Linked DNA regions of Drosophila melanogaster. The protein of the gene in region 1 interacts with the protein of each later gene in a pairwise test. Each region holds a gene or a part of one and is shown in the gene's direction. Other genes may lie near its edges.

Region 1 (4,569 bases):
AGGCTTTAGCCAGTCTTGGTGGATCAGGAGTTCCCCCTGCTAGGGACCATTGATTTCCTAGTCATGGCAACTAATTTCCATTCATCATGTTCGGTACCTCGAATGGATCAATAATCCGGACTCCTCCCTTGGAACAATCACAAACAATGTGACAGCTTTATCTTTCAGCACCAGTCGCCGTCGCAGTGAAAATCCATTTCCAATTGTGAATGCCGAGCGACAATTGTCGAATTCAATTAACGCCTGCGGCACCACCGAGCGTTACTTAACGCCGACACCCACCCAACGACCTCCGCCTCCTGCCGCTCCTCCTACTCCTCCTCCTCCTCCTCTCCCCCGGGAGTTTCCAGCGGGTGGGCAAGGACGAGCCGTAGCTGTGGCCGTAGCTGTGGCTGTTTCGCCAGGGTAACGGCTATGCAGTGTCACAATGCGGATGTGGATGTGGATGGGGTCCTTGGAGTGGGCGAGATACATACACTATCAGTTTCTATGAACCACACGATGCAGGACGTGGGCGGGGGGCGGGAGTGAGAGCGTTTGCGTGCTGCGTTGCCTCCGCCGATTGGCCGGAACGCGGCTGCAACGGCAACGCATCGGCTGCGGAAACGGCCACGGATAAGGCTACGCTCTGCCGCAACGCTCTCTGGCCGGAACTCGCCGACCATCCACACCAAATTCTACTACCCCCAGAGCGTTCACAGAGCGAAGGCGGGCTGCACGGACGTCATGCAATCGCACAGTGGAGCAAAAGTTGCAAGCTGGATTGTACTGAACTTGCTCGGTTTTTGCTCATAACATTAAGTTTGTGTACCAAGTTAGAAAAACAATTTTGACACTAAACTATTAGTTTCAAATCAGGTGGCTCATTCTTAACATTTCAAAGTAGCTTTAATGTAAAAGGTCATGGTATCATGCTTCTATAAGGTTTCCTTTCTTCCCAAATATATTACAATGTAATCCTAAAAAGTTTTGAACTCTTAAATCACAAAGATAGTTTAGTTAGCTGCACTTGAGTATCATCACAATTTTTACTACTAACCAACTAATCAACTAACCAGATTAGCAATGTTTATCTACAAAGGTAACTGCGTATTAGTCACTCTCTGAATATAGTGGCTTTACGTAATTACCCCTAATTTCAATGCGGTTTTCTATGCTGTTGAAATCGACCTAGCCCACTAGCCTCTAGCTTCACACTTGACCCACTGTGCCCGTGTCGATTTCGCTCCCGGAGGACGTGTCACCTGGCCCCCACCCCTGCTGCCGAATCTGGCCAATGGCAGCTCACCGTCGGCGCAGCGTGCGACGCATGCGCACCGGGCCAGCTCTCTGATTGGCTCTCATTGGCTGGCGGTGGGCCAAATGGGGCTGAAACCGACGCGGACGTCGCAGCCGTGAAAAACCGGTTACACCAGAAAAACGGTTCGTCCGTGAGTCCGTGAACGCTTGTGTCAGTGTGTGCGGGCCGCGTATTACGAGTGTGTTAGTGAGCGGCGGCTTTTCGGTGGCGTTTTGGGCCGCTCTGCTTGGCGGCGCTTCAGTAGAAATTGTCGGCTGATGGACCGCGGGCGAGGCACGAAGCCAACTCTCAATTTCCACTGCTACCGCCACTGCCACTGCCACAAAAATTGATCGAATCGATGCGCCGGTCCCGCGATTCGCGTGCAGTTAGTCGAATTTTTGACGGTCGAGTGACAAGGTGCGTCGCGTTCCGAACTCCCAAATAAGAATCATACAGAAGCCATTAGCCGTCGCGCCTCCGAACTGAGTAATCGGCCATTATCCGCGGAATAAGCCACACGGTGCATGCAAAACTCGAGCGGAAAGTGTTGTGCTCAAGTGATCAAAGGATTCGAACCAAGTTGCGGCAAAGTTATTGGATAGCCGGCGAATTCAGTGCTCTAAGTTTAAGGTGAGCACATCTTTTGAATTATATATTTCAAAAGTATAACCATCTAGGAAAGATACTATTCATGGAAGATTATCCGTTTTTGGTCAAGCTTTTATGCTTGCACAACGTTTTTAAATTGAGCTTCACCAAGTTATGTTGAATTGGTAAAGTTTAAGTGTTCATTTGCTATCTAGATTATAAAAAATAGAACATAAAAAGATAAAAAACTAGCAGATTCAAGTATCTGTTATAATATTCCATAGATCGTTTATAACGAATTGTCATTATTATTGGCATAAATTAGTTAGAATACATTTGCTTGGATCTGAAAATAAATTTGAGCTTTTATTTGAATCTGCTTCATTAAATGAAATTAGATGACAACTTTATTAGTTCACTGACAAGTTTTTAGATTGTATATTTTGTTGATTTGGATTTTACGCCAGATGTGCTATCTCGTTTTCTACTCGAGACCAGATAAGCTTAATTGAACTTGGTGAAAAGTGCACACATTGCATTTTGAGTGCAGACACATTCTAATCCGTAATATTATGCCAACACTTGACAAAAGCTAACGACGATGACTTATCGGCGTCTTAATTAAGATCTGGTCGCATCCATCGACCTGCCCATAATGACCACCATAAACGATCGTAATCAATTTGTTTGCGCATAATTTGCTTTCTCAACAACTAAATCATTAAAAATCGAGTCGCTCCCGATCAGGTTGCGGCGTTTTTGAAAGACTTTAATAACGATATTTGCTTATCGAGTTCGACACATCGGTCTCAAGTCCGACCTCGTCCCCCCAGACCCAACGCCCTGCCATCGATCGGCTTATTTCTTAATGAACGACGATCTGATCTAACGGATCGAGTCTGAACGGAACCAAACGGGGCGATCTTCATTCAACCGGCGGCGTTAGTTTCGGCCAAGATTCGATTCCAATAATATTCGAATAATATTCATGTTGTGAATGAAGTGGAAGATGCCACCGGATGGCCTGAATCGAATTTGCAATGCAAAACTACGGCCAATTGAACTTCCGCCGCACCGAGATAACTCATTTAAAGCGGACCAATCGATCGTTGGCCAGACTGCCAACGATCGATGACTGCCTTTTTGGCCAGACTTTAGTTTTCCCACGACCACGGCGAGCGACAAAAGTCAAAAATCGTATGCTAATTAATTCTTTGTCATGCCGTCGTTTCTGGCTGCCATTATGGCCCATTGACTTGTGTGCTTTCTAAGCCAAAGCCCAAGCCACCGGCTTTCGGGGCTTTTGGCCATCGGCAACGAGGCAACGAGCCGTCGGACAACTTACTTAAGCGTGGTCCAGAAAGAGCAAGCTAATCATATTCAAATGGTGAAGCGTACGTTTTATTATAATTTTTTTATTTTAATTAGCGGCTGTTAATGCCCCGCTTGGCTCTGGCTTCGATCGATCCATTGATCTGCGGGGGGGGCAGCAAATGATAAAAAATAAAATCAAGGGAGAGGGTTCCGAAACAGAAGCTCGGCCAACCTGTCGGTTCCACTTTCGGTAATCGCACGAATTTAAATTATTGTATGTTTAACTAATTTCTATCGGTTTTTATGTCTGTTCCGCTTGACATGTGCACGGAGCTAATTGAGACTTACGAGTTGAGGATTGTGGAGAAATCGGTAGCACTTGGGGAAGATACTAATTATACTCGTATATTATCCCCCCTGAAAACCAGAAAGCGGTTCTCGAGAACCCAGATTAGCAACATCCCTATATATATAACTCGCAATTTGGCCTCAAGATCGCATTCAACATTTAAAATTGTAGCCGTTGTGGATCTGGAAAAAACCTTTGCTACGCGTTCACATTTTATAAGGTCTCTTAAAATTAGAGGGGATTTTTTGGTCTCACCAGATACTTTGGATCACTGCTTGTTAGTTAGATTAGATATATTTCCAAAAGTAATACCTCAAATTTAGGTTTTTGTGTTCTGCAAGATACATTTTTCAGCATTCTAAGGATGGATCGTACCCAATAATTGATAATTAACACGTGTAGAAGTGGCAAAGCAAGTGGAATAGTCGCATATTTCTAGGGGTTGCTACTATGTCCGGAACTATTTAGTTTTGACTGCTCACTGGCCTCGATTGGGCCACGAAAAATTCCAGAGAAATGGGCGAGCAGCACGCCAGAGGGGAAATTAACCCTTTCATTGCGGCCAAATTGGATTTGGCCGGAATGTCTATTTCACTTTCTACAAAACCGAGTGGATTTGCAATCCTTATCGCACTGTCGGCCAAATCGTGGCCCCGGGCCAACTGCTAACTTTATGGCCTTAACGGCCAGCACGAGTTTCCCGTTCGCGGTGAGTGGTAACCGAAAAACTGAGACGGAGACTGAGAAGGTCCAAAAAAAACCTAATGAACAACTTAATTTCGAGTTCTTTTTTTCTCGTTCTGTTTGGTGTTTTTTCCGTTTTTTTTTTTTATTTCAAAGGGGGAGTGTGTGGTGCGTGCGGTGGTTCGGTGGCTTAACACGCGCATTTCGGTGGTTTTACGAGCTGAAAAGCGGCAAGGGAGCTGGACGAAGGACTCCCGGGCTCGGCAATTAAATCAAATGTGAATTCCATAATAACATGGCCATGACAAAGTGTGGACCGTCGGCCGGCAGTGGCAGTTACAGTTTTTGATTT
Region 2 (4,383 bases), on another chromosome or scaffold:
TTTGTACGCTAGATTTAGTTTCAAATGATAAATTGCAATAAACGGTCGCTTGCGATCTTCAAAATCAAATCGATAACTTATTAACTTATATGTAACGAAATTTCAAATGGTATATTCCAAAAAGTGCAAAGTGGTATTAGCGGTATATTTTTTGGACACACACGGCATATTTTTGTGACCGCGGCAGGGTAACACTCTTTTGTTGCTGATTAAAAATCCGCTTAACTCGTGGCGAAATTTGCATTTACGATTTCGCATACAAATCGCGTTGAAAATCAGAGTGAGTGCACCCCAAGCAAGCGCCCAGTGTAGCCCCACTCACTGCGCCCTCAATTCCTTTCAGATGCCGGGCGTTGAAACGATCAAATCCTCCTGGGCGGACGAGGTGGAGCTCGACTATGGTGGACTACCTCCGACGACGGAGACGGTGGAGAACGGACAGAAGTACGTGACGGAGTACAAGTACAACAAGGACGACAAGAAGACGAAGGTGGTGCGCACGTACAAGATATCCAAGCAGGTGGTGCCCAAGACGGTGGCCAAGCGACGCACCTGGACGAAGTTCGGCGACTCGAAGAACGACAAGCCCGGCCCCAACTCGCAGACGACCATGGTGTCCGAGGAGATCATCATGCAGTTCCTCAACTCCAAGGAGGACGAGAAGGCCAACGATCCGCTGCTAGATCCCACCAAGAATATTGCCAAGTGCCGTATCTGCAACGGTGAGCATTGGTCGGTCAACTGCCCGTACAAGGGCACGGCGATGGACACGAATATGATGGAGAAGAAGGCTTCGGCAGCCGCCGCGGCCGCCGTCGATGCGCCCAAGTCCGGCAAGTATGTGCCGCCGTTCCTCAAGGACAGCCAAAAGGGCGCGCTGGGAATGCGCGGACGCGACGACACGGCCGCCATTAGGATATCGAATCTGTCGGAGTCGATGACCGAGGCGGATCTCGAGGAGCTGGTGAAGAAGATTGGACCGCAGAGCAAGATGTATCTCGCCCGCGACAAGAACACCGGACTCTGCAAGGGATTCGCCTACGTGCACTTCAAGCAGCGCAAGGATGCGGCCGCCGCCATCGAGATCCTCAATGGACACGGCTACGACCACTTGATCCTCAGCGTCGAATGGTCGAAACCCCAGAACAATTAGTTAGTCCCGTTCCCACTACCCGCGTTTACTGCTCATAGGAGTCCGTTCGAGTCGATCACACAATTTGTCCCTATGCTATGCTAAGTTTGCTACAAATAAATCTTAAAACAGCCCCCATGGGCACCGAAAACCAGATGACTATGCTCTGCAAGGATACAATGGCATCTAGAATCGTATATTTTTCATATTTGATATAACTTAATCGCTCTTCTTTAGTTTTGCGGACCAACCAACACAAATGCTTTCGACTTTTGCTCTAATATAGCTTTCTCCCTCGTTTTAAAGGACGCAAGGCCACCAAATCGTAGACACTGGGAACAACATATAAAAGAAATATTTTTTATTTGTTACTTAAAAAACTTGAATATGATTTGTTAAGTGTATTTTTTAACGACATGCAGCTACCCACATATGGTTAACAAGTTAACCTTACGCGGTGCCCACTGTAGAAAGCATGATTCCAGCCGATCTGGCAACGCCATCGTTTGCATGCGAATAAACACCATGGTGTTGTTGTTTTTGTGTTTGCCAGCGATTTGCGTAAATTGTGTTTGTTTTTGTGGCCAAAAATAGAAATCAGATGCCGCAAAATATTCAAAAAGCATTCGAAACAATATTTTTGATCTTCAGGTGTGCGCTCATTTTCAGTCGTCAGTGAGACGGGCCCCCAGGCGAAAGTCTTTGTTGTTGCTCCGTTCGAGCGAAATGGCCACCGCCACCGTTGGTTCATCCAGATCCGCAACCACATCCGCAACCGCATCCGCATGCTCATCCAAATCCAAGAACCTAAAGAATCCGGCGCCGCAAATAAAAAGGGGACAGCGGATCCTCACGGAGAAACCATTCGCCTTCGTCTTGAAATCACAGTACCGCCTGGAGCGGTGCGATAACTGCCTGGAGGCGTAAGTTTCGCCATGTGGCTGCCTTTGTGAGCTATCTAATTTGGGTTCGTCGTTGCAGGACCAAGGTGCTGAAGTGCTCCAACTGCAGGTATGTGTCCTACTGCCACCGCTCATGCCAGATGCAAGCTTGGGGCCAGCACAAGCACGAGTGTCCTTTCCTCAAGAAGGTGCATCCTCGAGTTGTGCCCGATGCTGCCCGAATGCTCTGCCGACTGATCCTGCGCCTGGAGCACGGCGGAGACCTGATCCGCGGCTATTACACCGAGCACGGCTCCCGCAAGTTTCGCGATCTCATGTCCCGTGAGTAAACCAAAGGGCGAACCGCTTTGCATGGTCATTCCTAGCTAATCCACGTTAACGTGCACAGATTACGCCGAAATCAAGAACGATCCCATGCGACTGGAGCACTTGGACTCGCTGCATGCCGTCCTCACCGATATGATGGCCGAGAGTCCCAGCACGGTGCCAAACAAGACGGAACTGATGAGCATCTATGGTCGCGTAAGTGTGCAGGCACCTGTGCGAGCGAGCAGGAGCGGATTGGGCGATTCATCGCACTGGTACTGAATCGAGAAACCAAGACGCTTGCGTATGCAGCCGCTCCTGGTCGCCCAAATTAGATAGCAATCAATGATGTATGCCTGGCGCTCTGCCAGTCAATTGATTATCTAGGAAGGGCTTCGGTTCACATTCCCCGGCGCACAGTTACGCGGGAGCTCATGCTCTTTCTTCTCTGCTCTTTGCAGCTGATCACCAATGGCTTCAATATCTTGGACGCCGAGATGAACTCAATTGCCACGGCCATATATCTGGGCGTCTCGATTACGGACCATAGCTGCCAGCCAAATGCGGTCGCCACCTTCGAGGGCAACGAGCTGCACGTCCACGCGATCGAGGACATGGAATGCCTGGACTGGTCGAAAATCTTCATCAGCTACATCGACCTGCTCAATACGCCGGAGCAGAGGCGTCTGGACCTCAAGGAGCACTACTACTTCCTATGCGTGTGCAGCAAGTGCACGGATGCCAAGGAATCGAAGGAGATGCTGGCTGCCCTGTGTCCCAATCGCAACTGCGGTGCGGGAATCAGTGTGGACCGCAATAATTGCCCGCGATGCGATGCCGGCATCAGTCCCAAGTTGAGAAATGCCTTCAACGAGGCGATGACTCTGACCCGGCACAATCTGGAGAACATGAAGGACGTGGCCTGTGAGTAGATGCGACGAAATGGAATTAGCTCCATAATAAGCACATTTTCACTCTCTCGATCACAGATCTCGATGTGTGCAAGGTGTGTCTGGACAAGCAGACTGGCGTGTTCCATCCCCTGAATGTGTGGTACGTCAAGACGCTCGATGCGGCCTTCGAAGCAGCCATCGAAGTGGGCAAGTGGAGCGACGCCCTGGATTACGGGCAACGTTTGCTGCCAGGCTTTCGAAAATACCACGGACCCTGGAATCCGCTATTGGGCCTGCTTCACATGAAGCTGGGCAAGATTCAGCTCTACGAGGGCCATTCCAAGGAGGCACTGCACCATCTGGAGGAGGCCCAACGCATCCTAACCGTCACCCACGGCCGAGATCACAGACTGCTTACTGAGCAGCTATACATGCTCGTTCTACAAGCGCGACAAGAGGCGCACTAATGGGATTTAGTTGTTTTTATTCATTTAAATAAGTCTTAAGTTAAATATTGTGTTGCGTTGCGGGAAGAATGGAATGGATTTTTGTGGATAATTACTTTTCTATGTACAACAGAAACCATTCGGAGAATTAAAGATTATCAAATTCTATTACTTTTGGCATTTGTGGTAAACAATTCAAGGAATTAAAGTAAGGACACATTGATGGTGATCATCAAATTTAGACTCCGTTTACCACCTCAAATGTGATGTCTATCCGCCGTTCAACATTCCTCGCTCGCAAAAAAGGCGCACGCGCCCTATACAATCTGCGTAATGGCCTTGGCCCGCCAATCCGTATCCTGGAACAACGCCCTGATTAGGTGCTTTATCTCATCCGACTTGTAGCTGGCGGTCAGCGGGCCGACGCCGTCGCCCCACAGCTCTGTGATCTCCATGAGCGACGCGTTCAGCATGGCCTTCAGTTGCTGCAGCTTAAGCCAAGAGAGCACCTGGACCACCTCGTTTGGTTCGCGGAAAAGCGTGGGCGCCCGCTGGAGCACCACGTCAATGAGATCGCTCAGCTCACAGGCCATCTGTGCGGAAATGTCGCGCAGCGTGAACACTCGACGGATTAGCTCGGCGACAAATGTGTTGATTAGCTCGCAGAAGGTTGCATTGTACACGGTCTCCGGGAGCACATTGGC
Region 3 (5,513 bases), 4.7 Mb from region 1:
AAACATTGAAATTCTGGCCGGAGGACGGACTGTTCCACGCGACTGCCAGTGCAACTCCGGACGTGATTTATGCTGCGTGCGCCTGACAAACACTCGAGAAGTGATGATTTATAATGAAGATGCATGCTCGGTTATTAATTAAATTCTGACGCGACTGCGCTCCATTTAGTCTTAAATGCGAGAACCAAACAAACTGATCTTTAGTTAGCCTAAGGTTATGGTTGTCGTCTTACGCAATAAGGGCCAAAAGATCCTTAATTGATTCGAAATTCCAGAGGCAAATTCCAGTGCAAAGTGGTAAGAGGTATGCAAAATATGTTATGCTGAGAATCTTATAATAATACTTAAACATATCTGCAAGTTCATTTCCTTCCTCAGATTTCTCTGATCCAGTTAGGAAACTTAATATATTGACTTAGCCAAAACAAGATAGAATAGAATACTTATGTTCAGATGTTCGGCTTGAATGTGATTCCATAGATACCCATGGATAGATAGGTTATAAAGTAGCCAACAAATTGGTAAATACTCAAAAATGACGAAGTCGAAACAAAGTCTGCATTCTGTTTGGCAGTGGAATTTGAAATATGGCAAGCAATAGTCGAATATTCATTAAGCGCAATTATGAAAATTAAGTTGTCATTTTGATTTGAGTGCCCGCGACACTCGGGCATGCGGCCTCATAAGCAGATCTAGATCCCCCCCGCATCCGCAACCGAATCCGAATCCCCGCCAGAATTCTCATTAAATTAAATCAAACTGACAGCCCGGCCGGCTAAATGGATGCCCTGCGATTCGTCCCCTTTCCCCTTTTTGCTCCGCCATCTCGGCGACTAATTAACGTGTTTTCAGATATTTTGTTCAAATCGCGCCTGAATAATGAAGACGTTATCATGGGGCATCCGCGCATCCAGGAATGGGCACCCTGTAGCCCAGTAGATGTTGTGGATTTGGCTGCTGGCCAATTGGAAACTAGTGTCAGCCAGGCCGCCGGCTAATTTCTCAGATCCTCCCCTCCATTCGGATCCTGAGTGCCCCTTTTCCATTTTCCATTCTGTCTGAATTATGTGTTCATAATTTCGAATTAATGAAATTTTTACAGGGGGCTTGGGATTGGGATTCAAAGAAATAGAAAGTTATAATATGAAATATCTGTAAGGAAGGTGTTCTAAAAACTCAACAATTAAGTTATGATTCAAAAAATGTTGTGCTTCAAAATTACTGTTTCTCAGATTTAAATTGAATATATTATACACATTAAAAATGTTTCTCAAGCTAGTAGAACCCAATTATGCATTGCGTTACAATCACTTAGACTAATGGCCTTGTATTACTTTGTTAAGAGATTTAAAAAATTCCAAAAAATCGACAAAGAAACCATTTGTACATTTGAATACAATTTTTTGAATGCTGCATTGTTTAAAGAATTCTGAATTAACCCAAAAGAGGACACGTGCCTGCACACCAAAGCACTGAAAACAAATCCAGTCAAAGAAATTGCTCGCCGTTCATTAATCAAATGGATGAAATATGTTGGCAAACGTATTAAATATATTTAGCAAAGCCATCGAAATATTAAATAGCGCTACTTGTAGACAATTAGCCAAAAATTATGACTTTTAATCACGGGCAAGGCGACAAAAACAATTTCGAAAACCCAGAAGACGGCGTTGAACGCGAGCCACGCCCCTCATCCCAAACATTTCACACATGTTTTAAAAATAACCGAACTTGTGTGCTGTCTTCAGTGAAAATCGAATAGTATGTTTCTGTTCCTTTCTGTCGTTCTATTTGCGCATATGGTGTGAGCGGTGCGGAGATATATGATTTTAGGCTCCGCCCCGCCAGGCGATCATCTTGAAAAATCGGCCAGTGAGCAGGATGCTCCGCATATTCAAATTAGTTTTCCGTAAGATCTCCACGCGCGCTGTTGTCTCCGGAATATCTTCAAAATATATATCGCTCGCAATCGGCGGAAACATGAATTCGCAATCGGCAGTGCGTCGCTATCCACACAGTTTTTCCATCGAACAAATTCTGGCCAAGCCGGAAATGCGCAGCTCCACTTCCTTTGAGGACTCCGTGCAGGATGAAAGCGGTCGCGGTGGCAATTGTCTCGGTGCTTCACGGGCTTCCAGTCCGGCAACATCGAGTTGCTTGGATGACAACATGGACGACGGCAAAAGTGATATCGATTTGGCCTCAGATGATGGAAACGGTGCGTATGATCGATATGCCGGAATATAAGCTTTACAACGACGAGAATTTTGGTGTCTGGAATTGGATTTGGGATCTAAAAACTTAACTTAAAGCTCAATTGGATCCTTATTAAATAGCAAATATACAAAATATAGATTTATACTGAACTTCATCAGGATAAATAGCACCAACAGCCAAATAGTCAGTGCTTTAGTGCTTTTAAGTGTAGTATTATCAAGGTTCAAGGAATTATCAAGGATCTTTCAAATAATACAGTTACAATATACAAATTTTAAATTCTGAAAAAAAATGTCTCTAAAAGATGATTTACCTCCTAATGGAATCACCCATAACGAGCTCAGCACAGCCGTTCATTATTGTATGTAAATATGCAATGAGTTTCCCACCTGAACGAATGAGTGAGTGCCTATGGCTGAATGATCTCATCTGTCATCCGTGCGATCAAGAAACAAATGATCAGAAATTAGCTTCTGGGTGACAGGGAATAAGCCATCCATTCCATATCCACATTTTCGTCGACACCAACGCAGTCGACTAATGATGCAAATGTCACAAGCGAACAAAGATCGCTGGCGATCTCAAAGGAGATATTCTTCCACCCGTTAAGAAGGAATTTATATGGCTATTTGTTTTCGGTCGGCCAAGAGAATGTATGCCAAAATGGCCAATTAGACGCCTTGGCTAAGTGAAATGCAACAGTGTGATTTGCAATTTGCCAGGGGTTTTGCGGTGCGACGGGGCATTTTACATACACATACAACTGTGCCAACAACGGATCGACAAATTACCATTAGGCGAAAATAGTTGGCACCGCGCGCCGGATTGCCCGCTGTCGGTAGCAATAAATGTCTAATTGGGATTTCGATTTCCCACTTTGATTCCATTGCAGGCCTTGGTGATGACCGCAAAAAGCGACCGCGTACCGCCTTCTCGGCAGCTCAAATCAAAGCACTGGAAACGGAGTTCGAAAGGGGAAAGTATCTTTCGGTGGCGAAGCGAACTGCACTGGCCAAGCAGCTGCAGCTCACAGAAACGCAGGTTAGTTGTGGAATCTATCAAAAAATTTAATTACTACCCAAAAAAGTTTGCCATTCTATCTAAAAGCGATTAATAACATGAAATGAAATCCCTTGTATCTATGAGATACAATTGGCATTCCTCGTAAATAATTCATTCATTCATTTCACTTTTCAGATCAAGATCTGGTTCCAAAACCGCCGCACCAAGTGGAAGCGCAAGTACACCTCGGACGTGGAAACGCTGGCCTCGCACTATTACGCCCAGCTGGGTATCGGGGGATTGGCCAGGCCGATGGTGGTTGGTGATCGCCTTTGGCTCTTTAGCCAAACGCCAACGGGTCCCACGCCCATTCAGTCCATTATGCTAAATGGCAGTGGCTCCGCTGCACCCATGGCCTCAGCAACGACGGCCACCGGCTCACCCATGCGTCCGTACGCGACTAGCGGCGGAATGCCACCGTTGCCGGGTCCCAGTGTGATGGAGAGTGCCCGTAATGCCATACTGGCACGTGGACAACCCTTGAACTTCGCCCTGCCCTTTGGCGTGGCTAAGCCGCCGGCGGGTGGTGTGCCTGCGGCCAGCTACATCCCTCGCTGCAAGCCGTATGCGACCAGCTATGTGGACTACGCGGCGTCACTGCCAACGAACGAGAGCTATCTGCAAATGAAGTACGCGACGCTGCCGCCGGAAGCGGAAAGCGGCGCCTCCAATGGCCTCGCCGAACTGGAACGCGTCTTTGGGGATGCCAATGCCAACTTTCTGCAACAACGCAGCACGCCAGTCGCTGGAACAGCCACAGCCTACGGCCACGATGGATTAAATCAGGCGCAGCGGAGCCGCAGACCCACACAATCGGAGTCCGAGTGCAGCGACATTGACTGCGAGCATCTGGACGAGGATGAGGAGCCACCTGCTGCGGAGTGAAAAGGCGATTGGTTGTCTTTAGAATTTATGTTCCGTACGTCTCTCATACACACAAAAATATGCTCATACAAAGTGTAGTCATAGGGGGTAGTAGAGTAGGTGTCCTGTCTGGGTTGATTCCATTACAACTAGCTGAGAGTGGCACACTTTCAGATCTGGCCGGGATTACTGGCGTACCCCTGGTGGCTCAGCACTGGTCTAGTTTACGTTGTGGTTCTAGTACTAGTACTAGCGCTAGTTATTGCTATTCTATGTTACATTGTGTGGGTCGGGTACTGTTTACTGACTGGCTCTCAACAATTAATAAATGTAAATTAAATAATCAAAAATCACAAATATTACACGTCCGTTGCCGTTAGAACTCTAGTTGGATCAACTTAAATGCTACAAATTACACGCTGCATACTATAACTTAACCATTGCTATAACTATTTGCAATTTAACACGATAAATTGAGAGAGATAGACAGATAGAGAGAGCTGTAACAAAAGCGAACGACACTGACTTATTTACAATTCATTGCGTTGCTTGTGTGGCTGGTGTGCTAGAATGGAACACTTTTGGCTCTTGCCACACACAGTTCGGTTCGGTTGACTACTATACATAGTGGAGACTCATTTGATTTGATTTTGTTACGCCAACAGTAGGTCCGTAGGCTAGGGATCTGGAGCAGACGAATTGCGTTTTCTATCAGAAATCAGGGCTAGTACTCCAAGTACTCCTGCCTACGCGATGGCTGCGAACAGCGTCTACTGTTCGAGGAGATTCCATAGTTACAACTTAGCTAATTGGTCAAATAAAAATTAAAACTCATAGGGCTATTTTTGGTATTGCAAGCACGCGGAGCTAGCTGCGTGGTAATGGAAGTGGAGCTGGCGGTACTCTGTCCTTAGCGTCGTTAGCTCCAAGAGAGCTCGTAGCCCTTCCAGTTGGCGTTGGGTGCCAGATGCACGCGCCGTTTGTTGTAGTAGAAGGAGACGATGCCATGGTAGGCAGTCCGCGGAACACCGCTCTACAAAGATTAAGAATAATCATAGTTTCAAGCACATAGATTGATTGATCTACCTTGAAATCATCCATAAGACCCAGCATCTTAGTTGTCCGCTTGTACTGCTCCCTAGTAGTGTATTGAATGCGAACTGGACCTTCGATTCTGCAACACCATAATTGGAATTATGTAGATACTTTCTATATATCATATATCAACTCACCTAATCAGGTTTCGCCGCAGCTCATCGTACGTAACAATGGGATACGTATAAACGCGCCGCAGAAACGTGTTATCGTAATTGTCCTGAACATGAAATAGTTGTTAGTGTAATGAGGCAACAATGCACGGGTGTGTACCT

The links.
Region 2: the proteins of Poxn (region 1) and Smyd3 interact in a two-hybrid assay, tested with the Drosophila melanogaster proteins (one large-scale study listed by BioGRID).
Region 3: the proteins of Poxn (region 1) and lms interact in a two-hybrid assay, tested with the Drosophila melanogaster proteins (one large-scale study listed by BioGRID).

What each region holds. Positions count from the first base shown.
Region 1 is NT_033778.4:15,832,026-15,836,594, reverse strand, and holds the start of Poxn (Pox neuro), read left to right. Parts: upstream 1-1,539; 5' UTR 1,540-1,912; intron 1,913-4,569. UniProt on the Drosophila melanogaster protein: Transcriptional regulator that specifies poly-innervated organs (chemosensory bristle). Also controls the number of neurons.
Region 2 is NC_004354.4:2,606,143-2,610,525, reverse strand, and holds Smyd3 (SET and MYND domain containing, class 3), read left to right. Parts: upstream 1-1,649; 5' UTR 1,650-1,858; coding exon 1,859-2,055; intron 2,056-2,113; coding exon 2,114-2,355; intron 2,356-2,422; coding exon 2,423-2,556; intron 2,557-2,801; coding exon 2,802-3,264; intron 3,265-3,329; coding exon 3,330-3,700; 3' UTR 3,701-3,846; downstream 3,847-4,383. Other genes in the region: eIF3g1 (eukaryotic translation initiation factor 3 subunit g1), read left to right, coding at 344-1,153; Zw10 (Zeste-white 10), read right to left, coding at 3,997-4,383.
Region 3 is NT_033778.4:20,554,978-20,560,490, forward strand, and holds lms (lateral muscles scarcer), read left to right. Parts: upstream 1-1,899; 5' UTR 1,900-1,980; coding exon 1,981-2,218; intron 2,219-3,109; coding exon 3,110-3,258; intron 3,259-3,414; coding exon 3,415-4,164; 3' UTR 4,165-4,976; downstream 4,977-5,513. Other genes in the region: Mgat1 (mannosyl (alpha-1,3-)-glycoprotein beta-1,2-N-acetylglucosaminyltransferase), read right to left, coding at 5,063-5,176, 5,230-5,317, 5,376-5,458.